Danio rerio: one gene and its partners. Each later gene encodes a partner of the first gene's protein in a complex. Links are inferred from orthologs where the notes say so. Each region holds a gene or a part of one and is shown in the gene's direction. Other genes may lie near its edges.

What was found. The genes of interacting proteins can lie anywhere in the genome.
Region 2: the proteins of orc4 (region 1) and orc5 are in contact, whole or in part, in a cryo-EM structure (PDB 7JPO), measured with the Homo sapiens proteins. The link is inferred for Danio rerio from reciprocal best matches to the Homo sapiens genes ORC4 and ORC5. Residues at the interface, in NP_001177808.1 of Homo sapiens: Ser18, Gln21, Arg22, Arg25, Glu26, Cys29, Arg30, Gln31, Arg69, Thr74, Asn100, Leu102, Leu103, Gln104, Ile105, Ile109, Glu113, Arg116, Asp162, Arg277, Met281, Met284, Leu285, Asn288, Met311, Asp312, Ser313, Lys314, Asn316, Ile317; in NP_002544.1 of Homo sapiens: Ile17, Ser20, Leu21, Phe22, Gly23, Glu24, His26, His27, Phe28, Ser29, Phe30, Pro31, Tyr36, Gly37, His38, Thr39, Thr98, Phe99, Asn100, Val103, Arg104, Arg131, Glu134, Asn136, Pro139, Gly140, Arg143, Gln145, Glu146, Leu147.
Region 3: the proteins of orc4 (region 1) and orc3 are in contact, whole or in part, in a cryo-EM structure (PDB 7JPO), measured with the Homo sapiens proteins. The link is inferred for Danio rerio from reciprocal best matches to the Homo sapiens genes ORC4 and ORC3. Residues at the interface, in NP_001177808.1 of Homo sapiens: Pro370, Lys374, Glu377, Gln381, Ser392, Gly393, Asn394, Ser395, Gln396, Arg397; in NP_036513.2 of Homo sapiens: Thr227, His260, Arg261, Leu262, Leu263, Pro264, His265, Ala266, Ser269.

What each region holds. Positions count from the first base shown.
Region 1 is NC_133181.1:1,848,270-1,853,905, reverse strand, and holds the start of orc4 (origin recognition complex subunit 4), read left to right. Parts: upstream 1-2,207; 5' UTR 2,208-2,255; intron 2,256-3,105; exon of another isoform or gene 3,106-3,129; 5' UTR 3,130-3,135; coding exon 3,136-3,186; intron 3,187-3,265; coding exon 3,266-3,342; intron 3,343-3,879; coding exon 3,880-3,970; intron 3,971-5,636. UniProt on the Homo sapiens protein: Component of the origin recognition complex (ORC) that binds origins of replication. DNA-binding is ATP-dependent. The specific DNA sequences that define origins of replication have not been identified yet.
Region 2 is NC_133179.1:22,959,735-22,965,058, reverse strand, and holds the start of orc5 (origin recognition complex subunit 5), read left to right. Parts: upstream 1-1,703; 5' UTR 1,704-1,798; exon of another isoform or gene 1,799-1,886; intron 1,887-2,083; 5' UTR 2,084-2,086; coding exon 2,087-2,200; intron 2,201-3,635; coding exon 3,636-3,728; intron 3,729-4,479; coding exon 4,480-4,665; intron 4,666-5,224; coding exon 5,225-5,299; intron 5,300-5,324. UniProt on the Homo sapiens protein: Component of the origin recognition complex (ORC) that binds origins of replication. DNA-binding is ATP-dependent. The specific DNA sequences that define origins of replication have not been identified yet.
Region 3 is NC_133192.1:55,405,972-55,411,290, reverse strand, and holds the start of orc3 (origin recognition complex subunit 3), read left to right. Parts: upstream 1-1,698; 5' UTR 1,699-1,814; coding exon 1,815-1,850; intron 1,851-1,937; coding exon 1,938-1,992; intron 1,993-2,088; coding exon 2,089-2,180; intron 2,181-4,265; coding exon 4,266-4,398; intron 4,399-4,581; coding exon 4,582-4,686; intron 4,687-5,319. UniProt on the Homo sapiens protein: Component of the origin recognition complex (ORC) that binds origins of replication. DNA-binding is ATP-dependent. The specific DNA sequences that define origins of replication have not been identified yet.

The sequences.
Region 1 (5,636 bases):
TCAGCCAATTTATCACCCTTAACTGGCCCTAAACTGGGCCAAAACAGGTTTATTATTGGTACAGATTGTCAGCTATAAGTTTATACTTTAACCAGAAACCCCAAAAACTGAGCCATTACCCAGCCTAATGTTACCTAAACAATGCGACCAATTGCTACAATCATCTGGCCACACACCTCCCATCCACAACTGGCCCAATTGTTGTTTGCTGTCATGCATGGCCCACATTCGGCTGACATTTTGCACTGTGGCAACACGCCAGCAGTGCCGTAACGAGGCCACATTTGGGCCAAGTCCGTTTGCTATGTGGGTTGTGTAAGGTCCACCCAGTTGGCCCAATGCCGGTATCCACTGGTGGATGAAGGTTTAATGCCTGTTCGGTCTTTCCAGTGCACAATGTTGATTTATATTAAACTTAGCTCATATCTGACTCCAATTTAATATGAGGTGGTTTAGAATATTAATATATTTATCCTCGTTTTATCTGACTCCAATTATAAAACATTAAGAAGATTATATCAATATGTAATTTAGATAAATGTTTGAACCTTTTGTCTTCACTAGTAACTATTACATCCGTTCATTCGGGTGCTCATGTCGCTCAGAGAAATCGCCTCGGCCGAAGGCGTCCCTCACGGTCACACTCCGGTCAGTCTTGAATATTAAACAGAGGTAAATTGACTAATACTTTAGATGGCCCCTACCAGCGCGCTCGTTCTAAAATACTTTAGTTAGTCCCGCTTAGATGTACACCTTTGAGTTAAGACAATCATGATTTCTAATTAGAGGTTAGGGCATTAATATAAATGTACCCGACTACTGGACTCTATAGTAACTTTGGTTTTCACCAAGCCCATGGTTTCCCATATGAACTTAATTTAGAATAATATTACCTTCAAACAAAGGTCGGGTACCCAATCTAGGTTAGTCGTGCAACACCTTGTTGACCTAGACGGAAGTTATCGCCCTTTCCACCTAAGTACACATGAATCAATATCAAGAGTCAGTCGGATCCCTTAAACACAATTAGTGTGCCAATGCTCCATCTCAACTGGATTTTAGTCCGTCTACTGACCTGACACAAGACGTGCGGAAACAAGGATACAGCGTAATCTACTAGAACTAATAATTACAGAGTGAGCCAAATATGGTCAAACATTACAATTTATTAGTCAGGTAAATGTATTATGCCAATTCAATCAGTCAATTCATAAATGATCAATACAAAACATCAAATTATCAAAGATAAATCCAAGATGAAAGATGCATACCTGACTTAAAAACTATACATAACTAGGAGCAGGCTCCATGTTATGGGCTGATCTGGGTAGGCAGAATCGCGCTGAACCTTTCTCAGACCTTGCCTTAAATAATCCAAGAATTCCCTCAAGGAAGGGGGTGTGTGCATAACAAAAGGCTTTCACACTTAGTGGAAAAGTCACACCCTTCACAGTGGTTCAAAAGATGCCTGAAGTTATATATTTATTGTTTTGATTAGGTCTATTTCTGAGAGAATGAGGCCATTGTACCAATCGCACTGAGACATTTCAAATTATATCAAACATGATAGTTAAAGTCAGTTTGGTTAATCTAGAACATTCAAACATTAAATGACCATATGTGAGAGATGGGTGGATGAAGTCGAGTTTCAGCAGACTCAGATGCAAATGCAGCAGGAACTAGTTTTTCCCGCATTCCCACCTGCTGGGTTGTTAAGTCACCAGTCTCTGTTTTCAGCTCATGTTTTGAATTGTCAAAGATATCAAAATATTTGCAATATTTCAACTCTTACAGTTGTATATATCTCTGGCTCTGGATGGCCAGTCCTCCACTGCTTCTTGGTCCTGCATTTATTTCAAAGAAGCGCTACCCTGTACTAAAATGGCGGCTCTATTAACGCATACCTTCCAATAGACAACAACAGGGTAAGCGACATCTAATGTAAATATCTATGTACCAAAATAAAACAAAATTCTCTATTTTTTAAGTTTAATGTGGAACAGTTAATTTAGGATACTTATTTTATGCATTCACCCTGTAATTATTAAACCGAAAGCCACTGTATAATTGACTACTATTAAGTTTGAAGTACTTAAAAATCCACCTATCATAAAGCCTACCGTGATTATCAGTTGTATGGGCCACAGGGCGACCTCTATCGTCCGCAATTAATGTTTACAACGGAAATAGAGTAGCGCCGGAACTACGTAGAGCAAGATGGAAGCTAGTGGCGCGAAATCACGGAGCATATATGGGTGAGTTTATATATGTACAATTCAGTATTTAACTTGATTTATTCACGTCTATATACGTGTTTTACGTAATTACTTGCCAAAACTTAATCTTGAACGGTTTTAAACAGTGTTTCAAGTTGTCTTTAAGTAACGTTAATGGGTTTAGCAAATACAAAAAGACGGAGGGTGGAAATAACGTTAAACTGAGAGCTAAGTTAATCATGTCACACAACGAACAGTTTAATGCTGAAAACATCAATGTACGACATTAAGAGGCAGTAAAATAACATAATAAAGACAGACCGAGGTGAACTGTATGTTGTTTCTTATGCAGCCTTCATATCATTTATGAAATAACATGAAATAAGCTTGTTTTGGTTATTTTATGGAAAAATAATCTAGCGAAGAGTAATTAAAATATTAATAAAACACGAAATAGTGATTTGTTCATGTGGTCTATGCTTTTTTTCTTGTTATAATGCTTTATTATAGTTATATTCTTGTGTAGTCATGTGATAAGCTATATTATTTTATTTATAATGTTTCATTTACAGACTGTATTTATCTGTTACAGTACAATATTACTGTGTTTTTGACTGCTGTCACAGTTTTTCTTAAGAAATGTGTCAGTTGTAATATATTTCAGGTACATAAATTCAGACACACAAACTCATATATATATATATATATATATATATATATATATATATATATACACACACACACACACACACACACACACACACACACACACACACACACACACACACACACACACAGTCCAATGTCAGTTTGAGAATGTGTATAAATTGAGGTTGTCATCATCATTCATCATCAACATCATTATTATTCTTGTGTGTTATTAATGCAGATGTGTGTGTGTGTGTGTGTGTAGGTGAAGATGAGCAAGCGAAGGCCAGCCGCTCTCTCTGATGTCCAGTGTGTCTCTCTGGTCTGTCCTCCTTCCTCATGTTATTCCAGATGTTGTAATGTTGTGTATTGCTGATGTGTGTGTGTGTGTGTGTGTTCAGGTTCAGGAGCTCCTGCGGGAGAGATTGTGTCATCAGAAGTTGCCAGATCAGCCCATAGGCCTCGACTCACAGTACAAGTGTGTTCACTTCATTAACTATGTGTGTGTGTGTGTGTGTGTGTGTGTGTGTGTGTGTGTGTGGATCTGAACGCATAACCTGTATGTGTTTGTGTGAATGTGAATAGTTTCCCGTGTGTGTGTGGATTCCTACCCCCTGTGTGTGTGTCTTACATTGGGAATCTGTGTGTGTTTGTGTTCTTACCCTGTCTTGTGTTTGTGTGTTAACTTGAATTCTTGATTTGAGTGTGTGTATTCTAACGTATTCTTGTGTGTCGGTGGATTCCTAGTCCCTGTGTGTGTATGTGTTAACTTGAATGCTTGAAACTACGTGCATGTTTGTGTGTGTATTCTTACCCTGTCTTGTTTTTGTGTGTGATCTTGAATGCTTAATCTGAATGTGTGTATTCTAATGTATTCTTTTGTGTCGGTGGATTCTTAGTCCCTGTATGTGTGTGTGTGTGTGTGTATATTCTTTTCCTGTGTGTTTGTGTGTATTCCTGCCCTGTGTTTTTTTGTGTTTGTATATGTGTACTTAAGCAGTGTGTGTGTGTTCAGGCACCTGCTGGAGCTGCTGAGACGAACTGCTGTTCATGGAGAAAGTAACTCGGTTCTCATCGTCGGTCCTCGAGGATCTGGTAAAACTATGGTATGATTTACTGACGGCTGATAAAAGAAATCAAAAAATAAAAATTAAATGCAGATATCATCATTTACTCACCCTCATGTCTTATTAAATATCTTTATATGACACATAATAGAAGAAATGATTTAAGAAGGTTTATGCTGCAACATTCATTTGTTATACAAACCTTGAAAATGTTTACCCTAATAAAATAATGACATAATACAATTAAATAATTTATGTAGTCTTTTATTGCAGTACATAAAAATAACATGGCATTTTTGTACTTTTTTATTCATTCATCCATTTTCCTTCGGCTTAGTTCCATTATTTATCAGGGGTTGCCACAGTGGAATGAACTGCCAACTATTCCAGCATATGTTTTACACAGCTGATGCCCTTCCAGCCAAAATATATATTTATATTTACCATATACAGTCATTCTAATAATATATACAGTTGAAACCAGAAGTTTACTTACACTGTATAAAAAGGCATTAAAAAATTTACTTAAAGAGTCAGATGTTAATGTGATTAAACTTTTTCTTTTTTAGGTAAGTTAGGATGATCAAATATTCCTGTTCTGCTTAATAGCAGAATAATGAGAGCGATATTGTTTGAGAAATTGCTATAACTTTTCTTAAAAGTCAAGTTTACATACAGTAACATAATTCTGCCTCTGGAAAAGCTCAGATGATGGTGTCAAGGTTCTGGAAGTTTCTGATTGGCTAATTGACCATATTTGAGTTCATTGGAGACACAACTGTAGAATAGTATTGAAGGAAAAGCTCAAACACACTGATTCCTTGTGTACCAACATGGGAAAATCAACAAGCCAGAATCAACAACAAAGCCAGATTACAATTAGCTAAATGACACTGGGGAAAAAACTAAATTTATTGAGACATGTCCTGTGATCTGATGGAGCTAAAATTGAACCGTTTGGCCATAATGAGCAGTGTTACATCTGGAGGACAAAGAGGAAAGCTTACAAGCCTTGGATCACCATCCCTACTGTGAAGTATGGGGGCGGCAGCATCATGTGGGGCTGTTTTGCTGCAGGAGGGACTGGTACACTTCACAGCATAGTTGGCATCATGAAGACAGAACATTATGGAGAAATACTGAAGCAACATCTCAAGACATCAGCCAGGAGATTAAAACTTGGCCACAAATGGCTCTTCCAAACAGACCATGACCCTAAGCATACTGCCAAATTAGTTCAAATGTGCTTTAAGGACAACAGAGTGAATGTTTTGGAGTGGCCATCACAAAGCCCTGATGTCAATCCTATAGAAAATGTGTGGGAAGAGATGAAAAAGCTTGTGTGAGCAAGACAGCCTACAAATCTGACTCAGTTACACCAATTCTGTCAGGAGGAGTGGGGCAAATCCCCCCCCCCCCCCAAAAAAAAATTGTGAGAAGCTTGTGGAAGGAGACCCAAAACATTTAACCAAAGTTATACAGTTTAAAAGCAAAGCTAAGAAACACCAAGGCAGTGTGTGTAAACTTTTGACTGTCTAGAAATGAATAAAAAATTCTCAAAAAAAAAGTCCTCTCCTTATTCTGGCCTTTAGCAAATGTAAATGATTTAGTTAATCCTAACGGACCTAAAATAGTAAACATTTAGTGATTTACCATCAGACATAAAAAAAATGGTTATGTTCCTTTTTTAGAGTGTATGTAGACT
Region 2 (5,324 bases), on another chromosome or scaffold:
GGATTATATCTAGAGCCAAGCTCTAAATTCTGAATTCAAATTTAGGTCTTCTTTGGATTCAGACTCAATTTAAAAATTGCTCTAGAATAACTCTAGATGTAATTTCAGCCTTCATTTAGATCCAATGTGGATTCAAATTGTACTCAAATCCTTTGTGGATTTTGACTGGATTGAAGCTGGATTTTGCTCTGATTTTTTTATCTTGATTTATCTGGATTCAGTTTTAACTGCACTCGGGTCCGTCAGGATTCAAATGTAGTCCAGATTTAGATCCTTTATGGATTCAGTGTGGATGCAAAAAATTATCCAGAATCTGGATTCAGCTCAGATTTAGCTCCTTTATGGATTTATTGTGGATTCAGATTTAATCTGAATTTATTCCTAATCTGGTCCTTTTTGGATTCGGTGTGGATTCAGACCCTGTCTGGATTTAGTCCCAATCTGGTCCTTTTCAGATGCAGCTTGGATTCAGATCCTATCTGGATTCAGTCCAGGTCCAGCTCATCTGTAGTTTCAGTGTAGACTCTCTCCTTTCTGCATTTAGTTTGGACTTTTGGTCCTCTGTATATTCAATCCGGACTTGGTTGTTGCCTGGGGTGCCAGCTAAACTCAAGTATAGACAGAACAGCTCACAGATGTCGCGACAGACTAAGCAGTTTTGGTGCCAGATGTCACAGTGATTCGTTCAGCGTGGATGTGGCAGTCTGTCCGTGACTCCAATGATGTTCTCTTCCAGCTCTCCTCTCATTCAGTGTCTGTGCATCCGCATCATTCAGCCAAGCAATCTCATTAAGGTGAATAATCACACTCGGGACAGCATAAAAATAATGACTAAACTCATAGGAAAACACTGCTCATATGACGACGACGCATTCCAGCGCATCATAGATAATATTCCCAACGCAAATGTCAGTATGAATACTTAATGATGACCCGAATAAATTAATGCTTGGATGGTGTGCGAATGAGACATATATATACTAAAGGGTACATTTATATAAGCAATAATCTACCTTGTACAGTCCAAATGGTCGTTTCCACGAGGCTACTATGGGAAAAGACTGATTTTCCGTGATCAGTCTCGCCGTGCTGTTGCGTTCAACAGAAATAACGGATGCTGGGATGACGACACTTGCACTGCATCATATTTTGCGTGTCCATTCTTCTCAGATTTACACGCACAGACAGTTGCAACACGCAAATGTCGCTCTCCTCTCGGCTTCTGGCTTAACGGCGCACCACTGCTCCATCCGATTTAATCCTGCGCGCACATCTCGGAGCAAGAAAACCCACTGCACCTGACCAAAGTGATGTCGACTCAGTGCAAAAAAGCAGGGATGAAAAGATTCATTCCGCGCGTGTGGTTGTCAATGAGGCGCGCTCGAGCGAACAGCGCAGATTTCAGGCACACCCGAATATTCAGTCTGCGTCTGTCACTCCCGTCCGCATAGCAGATACAGGAGAGATTCAGAAAAGAGACGCTGGCATGACTCTGTGATCAAACAGAGTCCGATATAAAATTGTATCCAAAATCGTTTTTGTGTCTCTGTGAGTTTCGCGAGAATTATGACCAAAGATTCTCCGATTCAAACGTTATAAAAAATTAATTTAAGAGCAACTGCCAAGAACTACATATCCCAGAGTACCGTATCCGGAAGTGACGCATGCGGCTTGTGACGTATGTTGCGACTTGAGCGGGGAAACTGATGTGAAGTTTACCGTGCAGGAAGAAAGCTGAAAATATATAACCAAAAATTGTAATGTCTTTCTGCTGATACACAACTTGCTCGAGTATCAGGTTTTTATGTTTCTTGTTGTTACTGGTTTTTGCTTAAAAGTGTTATGTTTAGGGCTTTGCTAGTTTGACCACGTGTGAATATCTCTCAGTATAGGTTCTAGCAGTTATGGTTATTAATCTTCAATAATGAACGCATCATTTTTAATAATGCGATATCTAATCTACATCTAGGTTTTGCATTTAAGTTTGTTCAAACACCTGTGTGCGCTCAAGGTTTTAAACCGAGCTTTTTATCATCTGTAGTTTTTATCACTTTACTAAATGCATGTGTTTTGCTGTGATCAGAGGATGCCTGTAACTCTGCAGTGTCCCGGTTATCCTGAAGACACACTGCGCACCCTTGCTGAAAAACTGCCATGCAGGGAGACACAGGTGACGTCACTGCTGTCACTCATGGGGCAGGTAAGTTAAATGGCAGAATATGTAATTTTCTATTGGTTTACTCAAAATACTGATTGGAGGAAACTTTTGGTATTACCTAATAAATATTTAATTACAAATAAAATCAAAGAAATCTCATTTAAGATAGTACACTAATTTTACCCTGTTAAGCATTTTTTTTAACCAGATGTATTAAAAAAATGGATGTCAATTGTTTTGCTCATCTCACCCAGAAACAGTACCTTATATTTTCTGGCATTGTCAATACACAAAACTGTTATGGGGGAAGGTATCTAAATTTATAAACGATTAAGTGCTGTCAAATTTTCTTTTACTGTATGAATATGTTATTTTTGGTTTAACCATGATAAGAAGTTGGAAAATGAAGCTTATGTTATGTATCGATATTATGTATGTCATCGATGTTAATTTAGCAATCAGAAACCTCTGTTTTAGTGGTACTTAAAGAACTAAATATTTATATAAATACCATTAAGGGAAGTACTAACAAAATAGCTGTTTAAACCGTGTATTTGTTTGACACTTTTAAGTTAATGTGAGTTAGCAAGGCCTAGCATTATTTAATTGTAATATTTTTTAAGCCTTTTCTATTATTTTATTTCATTTAGTTTTTTTATTATTTTAATACCTCTGGCATTGTTTTGTTTGTATCGTTCTTGCAATAATAATAATAAAAAAGTTAAATGGCAGAATTATTATTTTTTGTTATAGTTTACTTTATACTTAACTGTTGTTTATGTTCTTGTAATAAATTATAGAAATAATAAAAACAATCAAATGTAAAAAAAAACACCATTATAAACTGTAGAAGAAATGTAATAATAATGCAACTTAATGTAAATATGAAAGTAAATATACATAAACATACTACAATATATAAATAATTACATATATGTATAGAAGCTACATATATATAATTAACAATTACTGAACTAAAATCAATTGAAGAAGTGTACTATAATAGCTTACTTAAAATGACGTATTATATATAAAACGGCAATAAAAATAGTTCAAGAACTAATTGGTGCAATAACACTGCTTTTTTAAATTATGACAAATGAAAACAGTTAATGTTTTAATTGTTCTGACCAATTTCATTTTTTGAAAACAAACAAAAAAAATCTTTATGTAAATGACAAAAAAAGTTTGTGATGCTATAACCTTTTACCATGTTCATTAAAAGCTCACATGATTTTAAAAACTGAATAAAAAATAATATTTCATGATTTCTTTATATATATATATATATATATATATATATCTATCTCACATGCACATAAATATGAAAAGTGTATTTAAAATAGTTCTTAAAAAAACACTCTTGTTCAATTTGTCTTAATGCTGCACACTGGCATTGTTGCATTATATAGTGACAGTTGTGATATGTCACATGTTCGTTGTTAACTTGAATTGTGGTTATTCTGTTGATTAACAGCCAGATCACTACAGCTATCCTTCAGTTTTCATCTATGGGCACAGAGCAACGGGAAAGAGTCATGTGGTGCTCACCATCATGAAGGATCTGGAGGTAAGATAATGAAAAAGGATTATATGGAAACCCGAGTTTCCATATAACTGGAGAAGTCCTCATTTATGCAGGTGAAGAAGCACATTACATCACTTTTGCCTAGATATCCCCCCCACCTCCCATATTGACAATCAATGCTGCTAAGCTATAAGTCAGAATCAGGCTGCAGATGTCGTGTATGATGGGCACAGACTAATGCTTTGTTATCAGAGGATATCAAAGTAAGTCAAACAGGTTTTTTGATTTCGAGCTGAACTTGTTTATTTGTTTTTCATTAGTAATGCATCTGTTAGAAGTGATGTTTATGTTTTTGCTAGGGCCATCACAGTTATGAAATCTGTCTGACGATTAATAGCTTTGAGGATTAATTGTCTGTTTTGGGACTTATGGAAATCTAATATTAGTGCTGTTAAGCAATTGCATACAAAAAAAGGTTTTTATTTACTTAATTTTGTTTGTGCTTTGTCCATTTAATAAGTATATATAAATAAGTTCAGTTCAGCATGAGGCCTCTATCTTTAGCGATTTAGTAATTGATCATTTATCAATCACAATATAAACTATATATAAACTATATATAACTATATATAAAAATAATAAACATAGGATGATTTGTTTTTAACAAAACTACTTCAATTTAAAAAATCCATTTAGTGTTTTTCTGCCTTCATTTTAGGTTTCTTGAGTAAACATGTTTAGTGTCAGAAGTGAAAGACAATGGCTGTATTTTGGTGTTGTGTGTGTTTTGCAGCTTCCTCATGCTTCAGTGGACTGTGTGGAGTGCGTGTCCGCTGGACTGCTGTTTTACCAGGTGTTGTCCGCCCTTTTCGGACCAGATTCAGCTGCTTTGCTTCCGCGTTGTCCGTCTTTGTCAGATTTTGTACGCCTGTACAAACAGATGAGCTCCAACACACCTGCCACACAGACACGCTATATAGTGAGTTTTCATTCTAATATTTAACATTCAATGGTTTTGCTTATGTTTGGAGATTTGTCAGTATTTTGGTGTTATTATTAGGGCTATGCAATACACACACACACACACACACACATACTGTATACATTATGTATATATATACATAATTATCAAAATATTGCAGATGTATATATTGCAGTATACATGCCACAGTGTGCATATTATCAGTAATTATTAATAAAAATATTATCAGTTATCTAGATTTGCCATTCATAGATGTTTTGTGTTTTTATTATATATTTTTTAAACTACTGATAACATGTTTTTTTTTTATTTCAAATGATAATATTATTATCATTTGCATAATTTATTTGCAGAAAAAGACAACAGTTGAGTATAAATAATTAATATTTTTAGATCATTTTTAGTCATATTTTCGCCAACATTTGGTTAAATAAAATATATAGAATATTACATGTTGACCGCCTAAAAGGTGTCTTATTTTTTCCACACTTTTGTTTGTTTTATGCCATTGATGTTAAAGATAACATATACTGTAAGTTATTAAATGTCTCTGTAGGTTCTGGACCGAGCTGAACGCATAAGAGATATGGATTTCAGCCTGCTTCCTGCTCTTCTGCGCCTACAGGAACTGGTACACACACACACACACACACACA
Region 3 (5,319 bases), on another chromosome or scaffold:
CCAACTGTGGCCCACACATTCAGGTTTTGCTTGGCCCACATGCCGCAGTGAATTACGGTACATGACTGGACCAAATCTGGCTTCCAGACAAGGGCCAAACACGGACCATATCTGGGCCGAGTCTCAGCCAAGTTAATAACTCATAACTGGGCCTGAACTGGGCCAGATAGGTTGGTGTGTCACGATTGCAATTAAATTGATAAATCCATGGAGTGATGCGCTTTAGGCACACTATGGGCACGCTTTTTCTCAAAGTGACCTGATTGGTAGAATTTTTTTTCTTTACTCAAAAATGATTTTAGTGTATTTTAAATGTGGGTCAAGACTGGCCAAACTCACATGGCCCACTTATCAAATTTTTAAATCTGGGCCAAATACTACGTTTTTCATCTGGCCCAAATCTTGTGTGCCGCCTTAAAGACGGTGCCACCTCTGCCAAACCCGGGCCATGTTTGGCCCACATGCTGTATGCCAGTGCCGGATGAATGCCTGCTGTGCCAGCTTTATGCCAAATCTGGGCCAGAATTCTTTGCTACTAGGGGAATTAAACCTACAAGTTACAGTACAAGTAGGCTAGTAGTAGCTTCTGCAACTTCAATCCTATTTTGTATCAGACATTGTCTTAATATGATTCTTTATGTCAGTCAAATCTGTCAACTTCAAAACTTGAAAGAAAAGCTGCAGCTGAACCGCTATAACATGTCTGTCTTATCAATGAGGAGTGTGCTAAAAACCTGGACTTTTACACTTTAACAATTAAACTAACTCTGGCCCATTTATCCATTTCAGTGCACAGTGCCTTTTTTCAACAGAGATTGACACAAGAAAACACTTGAGGGGAAAAGATGCATGTGACTCAAGTGGTTATATGCCCGAGCCATGTACTGTGGGGGTGTGACATTTCATGTTAAGAGCTATACGCTCCCTCTGCATAGCACCAATTATTATGTGTTCAGCTACTCCAATCTATGTAAAGTCATGTTTCTGAAAAACAGTGATGCTAGTGATGCTGCCATGTAGATAAAAAAGACAAGCAGTCTGAGAACTGAGCCATGATGCACACCTGTTACAAGATTTATTGACTCAGACACTTCAACCCTGACCCAGACCCTGGATCGACATGAGAGGTAATAATATTAATAACTAAGTTGACAAGAAAATGAATGAATGAATGAATGAAAATACTGCATAGACTCAAACCCCTAATATTCGTATCTAAAGTAGTTTATTCGAGTTGTATGCTTGATAAAGTACACATATGCGCTTCAAAATGTATGCTTTTGATATTCACATGCAGCCTAGTACTGGGAAACACCCACAGACTTAAACACTATGGCCAATTTCGTTTATTATATTCACCTATAGCGCATATCTTTAGACTGTGAGGGAAATCAGGTACACCTGGAGGAAACCCACACGAACACGGGAAGAACATGCAAAATCCACACAGAAATGACCCAGCTGAGGCTCGAACCAGCAACCTTCTTGGTGTGAGGCGATCGTGCTACCCACTGCGCCACCGTTACGCCCCACATATAGGAATTAATCAAATCTTACTCAAAAAAAAGACATATTTTACATACTATTTAGATATCTTAAAGACAGGGGGCTGATTAGATTGAAAGATTGATTATTTGTAAGGTTAATGTTGTTATTAATGGATCATTTTCCCCTTGACATCGACGCTAGTTGCTAGATGGCAGTATAGGCACTTGTTGGTTTGCCGACTTACAAAGAAGAAGACGAAAAAGCGGTAACTGAAACGCATGGTTTACTGAAAGTTTGTCAAATTATATGTTTTTTTAAGAAAAGAAATGAACGAAACACTCACGACTTCATCAGTGTCAAAGGTAAATGAGCGCTGTCTGCAATAAATGCATGATAACTTATTAAACTTGACACGCGTCCAGACTTACAGATCGTTATATGTATTTCAGGGATGTTTTGTTTTTAAGTCAGCCTCTAAAAAGAGAAAGCGACATGTAGGTCTTGGTAAGTAATGATTGTCATTATTACAAATATCAACGTCTTCACTTCCATACACACGTACTTCTTTCAACGATCACTATTTTTATTCATTACATGTAGACGAATATTTAGTGGAGGCTGACGACGACAGCGGCAGGGATCGATTTAGGATCTGCCAGAAGTTATGGGAGACGGTTCAGACAAGCACTGAGGTATGTATGTTTGCCACATGGAAAAAAATACTGTAGTAAATAGTGTGTTTTTGAACTACAGTTCTATCTATCTATCTATCTATCTATCTATCTATCTATCTATCTATCTATCTATCTATCTATCTATCTATCAAGTTGTCTGTCTGTCTGTCTGTCTATCAAGTTGTCTATCTGTCTGTCTGTCTATCTATCAAGTTGTCTGTCTGTCTGTCTTACTGTCTGTCCATCTATCTATCTATCTATCTATCTATCTATCTATCTATCTATCTATCTATCTATCTATCTATCTATCTATCTATCTATCAAGTTGTCTGTCTGTCTGTCTATCAAGTTGTCTATCTGTCTGTCTGTCTATCTATCAAGTTGTCTGTCTGTCTGTCTTACTGTCTGTCTATCTATCTATCTATCTATCTATCTATCTATCTATCTATCTATCTATCTATCTATCTATCTATCTATCTATCTATCAAGTTGTCTGTCTGTCTGTCTGTCTGTCTATCAAGTTGTCTATCTGTCTGTCTGTCTATCTATCAAGTTGTCTGTCTGTCTGTCTTACTGTCTGTCCATCTATCTATCTATCTATCTATCTATCTATCTATCTATCTATCTATCTATCTATCTATCTATCTATCTATCTATCTATCTATCTATCTATCTATCAGCAATTTTACCTTAATTAGCATTTACGACAATTTGATGTATATGTTCTTGGACATCGCAAATATGGTACTGTCTGCGGCAAGGATGCATGGCGCTTCTACAAAAACTATTACTTCATGGATATGTGCAATAACTAAGATAAAAGCTATGCCGGCCACAATGGCAGAGATGAAGGAGTGGATTAATGGGATGATTGAAATTGCATCATATGAGTGTATGCTGGGGAGACTGAACATGGAGGGAGAAGTACATAGAAATTGGGATAATCTTTGGCAACATTTAAAATTAGGATAAATGAGTATGTACATTCAAAGGTACCACAACCTTCATTTCCATATATGTTTGCTGTACATTGTTATTCTTTGTTGAATTTTCTTGGTGTACGAGGCTGAATATGTAACATGTATCATATGTATGTGTAGGGTAAAGTGTGTTCCTTGTTCTGGGCTGTTGAACAATAAAAAAGTAGAATTACAAAAAAAAAAAAAAGCTATGCTGCTGTGATTTTTTTTTTTTTCTTTGCATTTCATTTAACCTCTGTGTAAAAGTCCAATGTTTCTACCTTTATTCAAAGTGTTTTTGTAAGAAGTTAAATGCAGAGGTTAATTTATTTGTTTACGTATTTATTTATTTATGTATTCTACCTTTTTTTAAACTATTATTATTATTCCCTCGTTTAGTTTTTGGCCCTGATTTATTTCCTTTTTGTTAAGTGGTGACGTGTTTGTGACGTATGTATTACCCTTTCCGGGTCGTTCATTTGAGTGGAGAAATCATTTGTTTATGATCACGTTTTATTCCTATCACACATTAAAGTTAATTTTATGTAGAATCATAGTGTACACAACAATCTGTGGGCTTGCTGCATAACAAATACCAAAAATTTAACAGTTTATAAAAAAATAATCACTTTCTGGCCATCGGATATTGGGCATGGACATATATACTGCGATCGTGATTTTTCGAAAGTATTAAATCGCTTTGTAAACGTTTATTGTTACTATTTCATGAGTCTCCCCATTCAGTTGAACAGAGCGCTTGGACTCGGAAGCCGCTTCGTGTGACGTCACAATTAACAAGCGGATTATTTATTATTATTTTCGCCAGGGGTGGGTGGGGTTGGGTAATAATAAGAAACATAGTTGGTTGGTATCCTTGTCTATAACTATATACAATATTATTTTCAACTGTTCAATAAAAATTTTATCACAAAAACAAAAAAACGATTTGGTAATGAGTGCTACGACATCTTGTTTTAAATATAGTGAACTGATAAGCAATAGTAAATAGTGTAGTATACTTTATAATTTACTTTAGTAAACTGTTGTGAGTTTCCTTATTTTGTTTGTCTGGCTAAATAAATTTTAGCAAGCCTTTCAGTTCTTTTCTTTATTCATTTGCTCATACATCATGTATGTATTACAGGAAATACAAAATCAGCTGAATAAAAAGGTGCTCGACAGTCTTGTTGAGTTCATTAAAAAGCACGAGCTGGGCTCCTCATCTGATGTCTGGAGGCAGAGAACAAGTGAAATCCCCACAGCTGCCCTAATGCTAGGTAAGGCATGAGTTCGATTTTGAGATTTTCTGAAATATAGATTTTTTAGGTGCAGATCTGTGATTCATTTTAAAATGAGAAGCAGCTGTGAAACATAGTTTGCATTTTACATCCTGAGACTTATTTTATACACAATGGTGTCTTTATAACTAGTCTTTTTAAAAACTTGTTATTGTCTTCCAGGGGTAAATGTTCCAGATCATGCCATGACATTTCGCAGTCTGTGTAATCTCCTTCAGGATTCGGTCACTCCATTTGTGGTATCTGTTCATGCCAAGGAATGTGCAGGTATGCATACAACCCGAGAAAACTATTCAATCTGACTGAAATCCTGTCAGTGGTACAGAATGCCTGATCTGCATTTAAGGATGTGTTTGTACCTTATAATTGCAGATTTTCAAATCTTCTGTAAGTGGGCTGCACTGTGCATATAATACAATGATAATGTGTAGTTCTATAATGTTCATAAGGGGTGGGAATCACAGGTTATCTTGCGATACGGAAATCGTTTTGTCCCTGATAATGAAATATAACACAATATATCACTCAAATAAGGTTTAATGGATCGGAAATGAGGCAGCAGAGAACTGAAACTTACAACAAATAGGTGGCGGCAGTTCCTTGCTGTGACTACCGCTAAACTGAAAGCAAAACAAACATAAGCTGCGTCCCAAATGGCACACTATGCACTCATGCACTATGTACTTATTAGGGGTGAAAATCGAAATCGATCGAAATTTATGCTCAAATTTCGATCATCGAATCAAAAAATAGAATCGTCGATGCTGCCACGCCCCCATGTCACGTCAGCTTGGCTTGTCAAGCGGGAAAAAAACAGGCTTGTTGAAGTGCTTGTTAAACTGCAGACGCAGGAGACCCGTCGACAGAGCTTAAACCCTCTCCTCTTTCAATGAAGTCGCC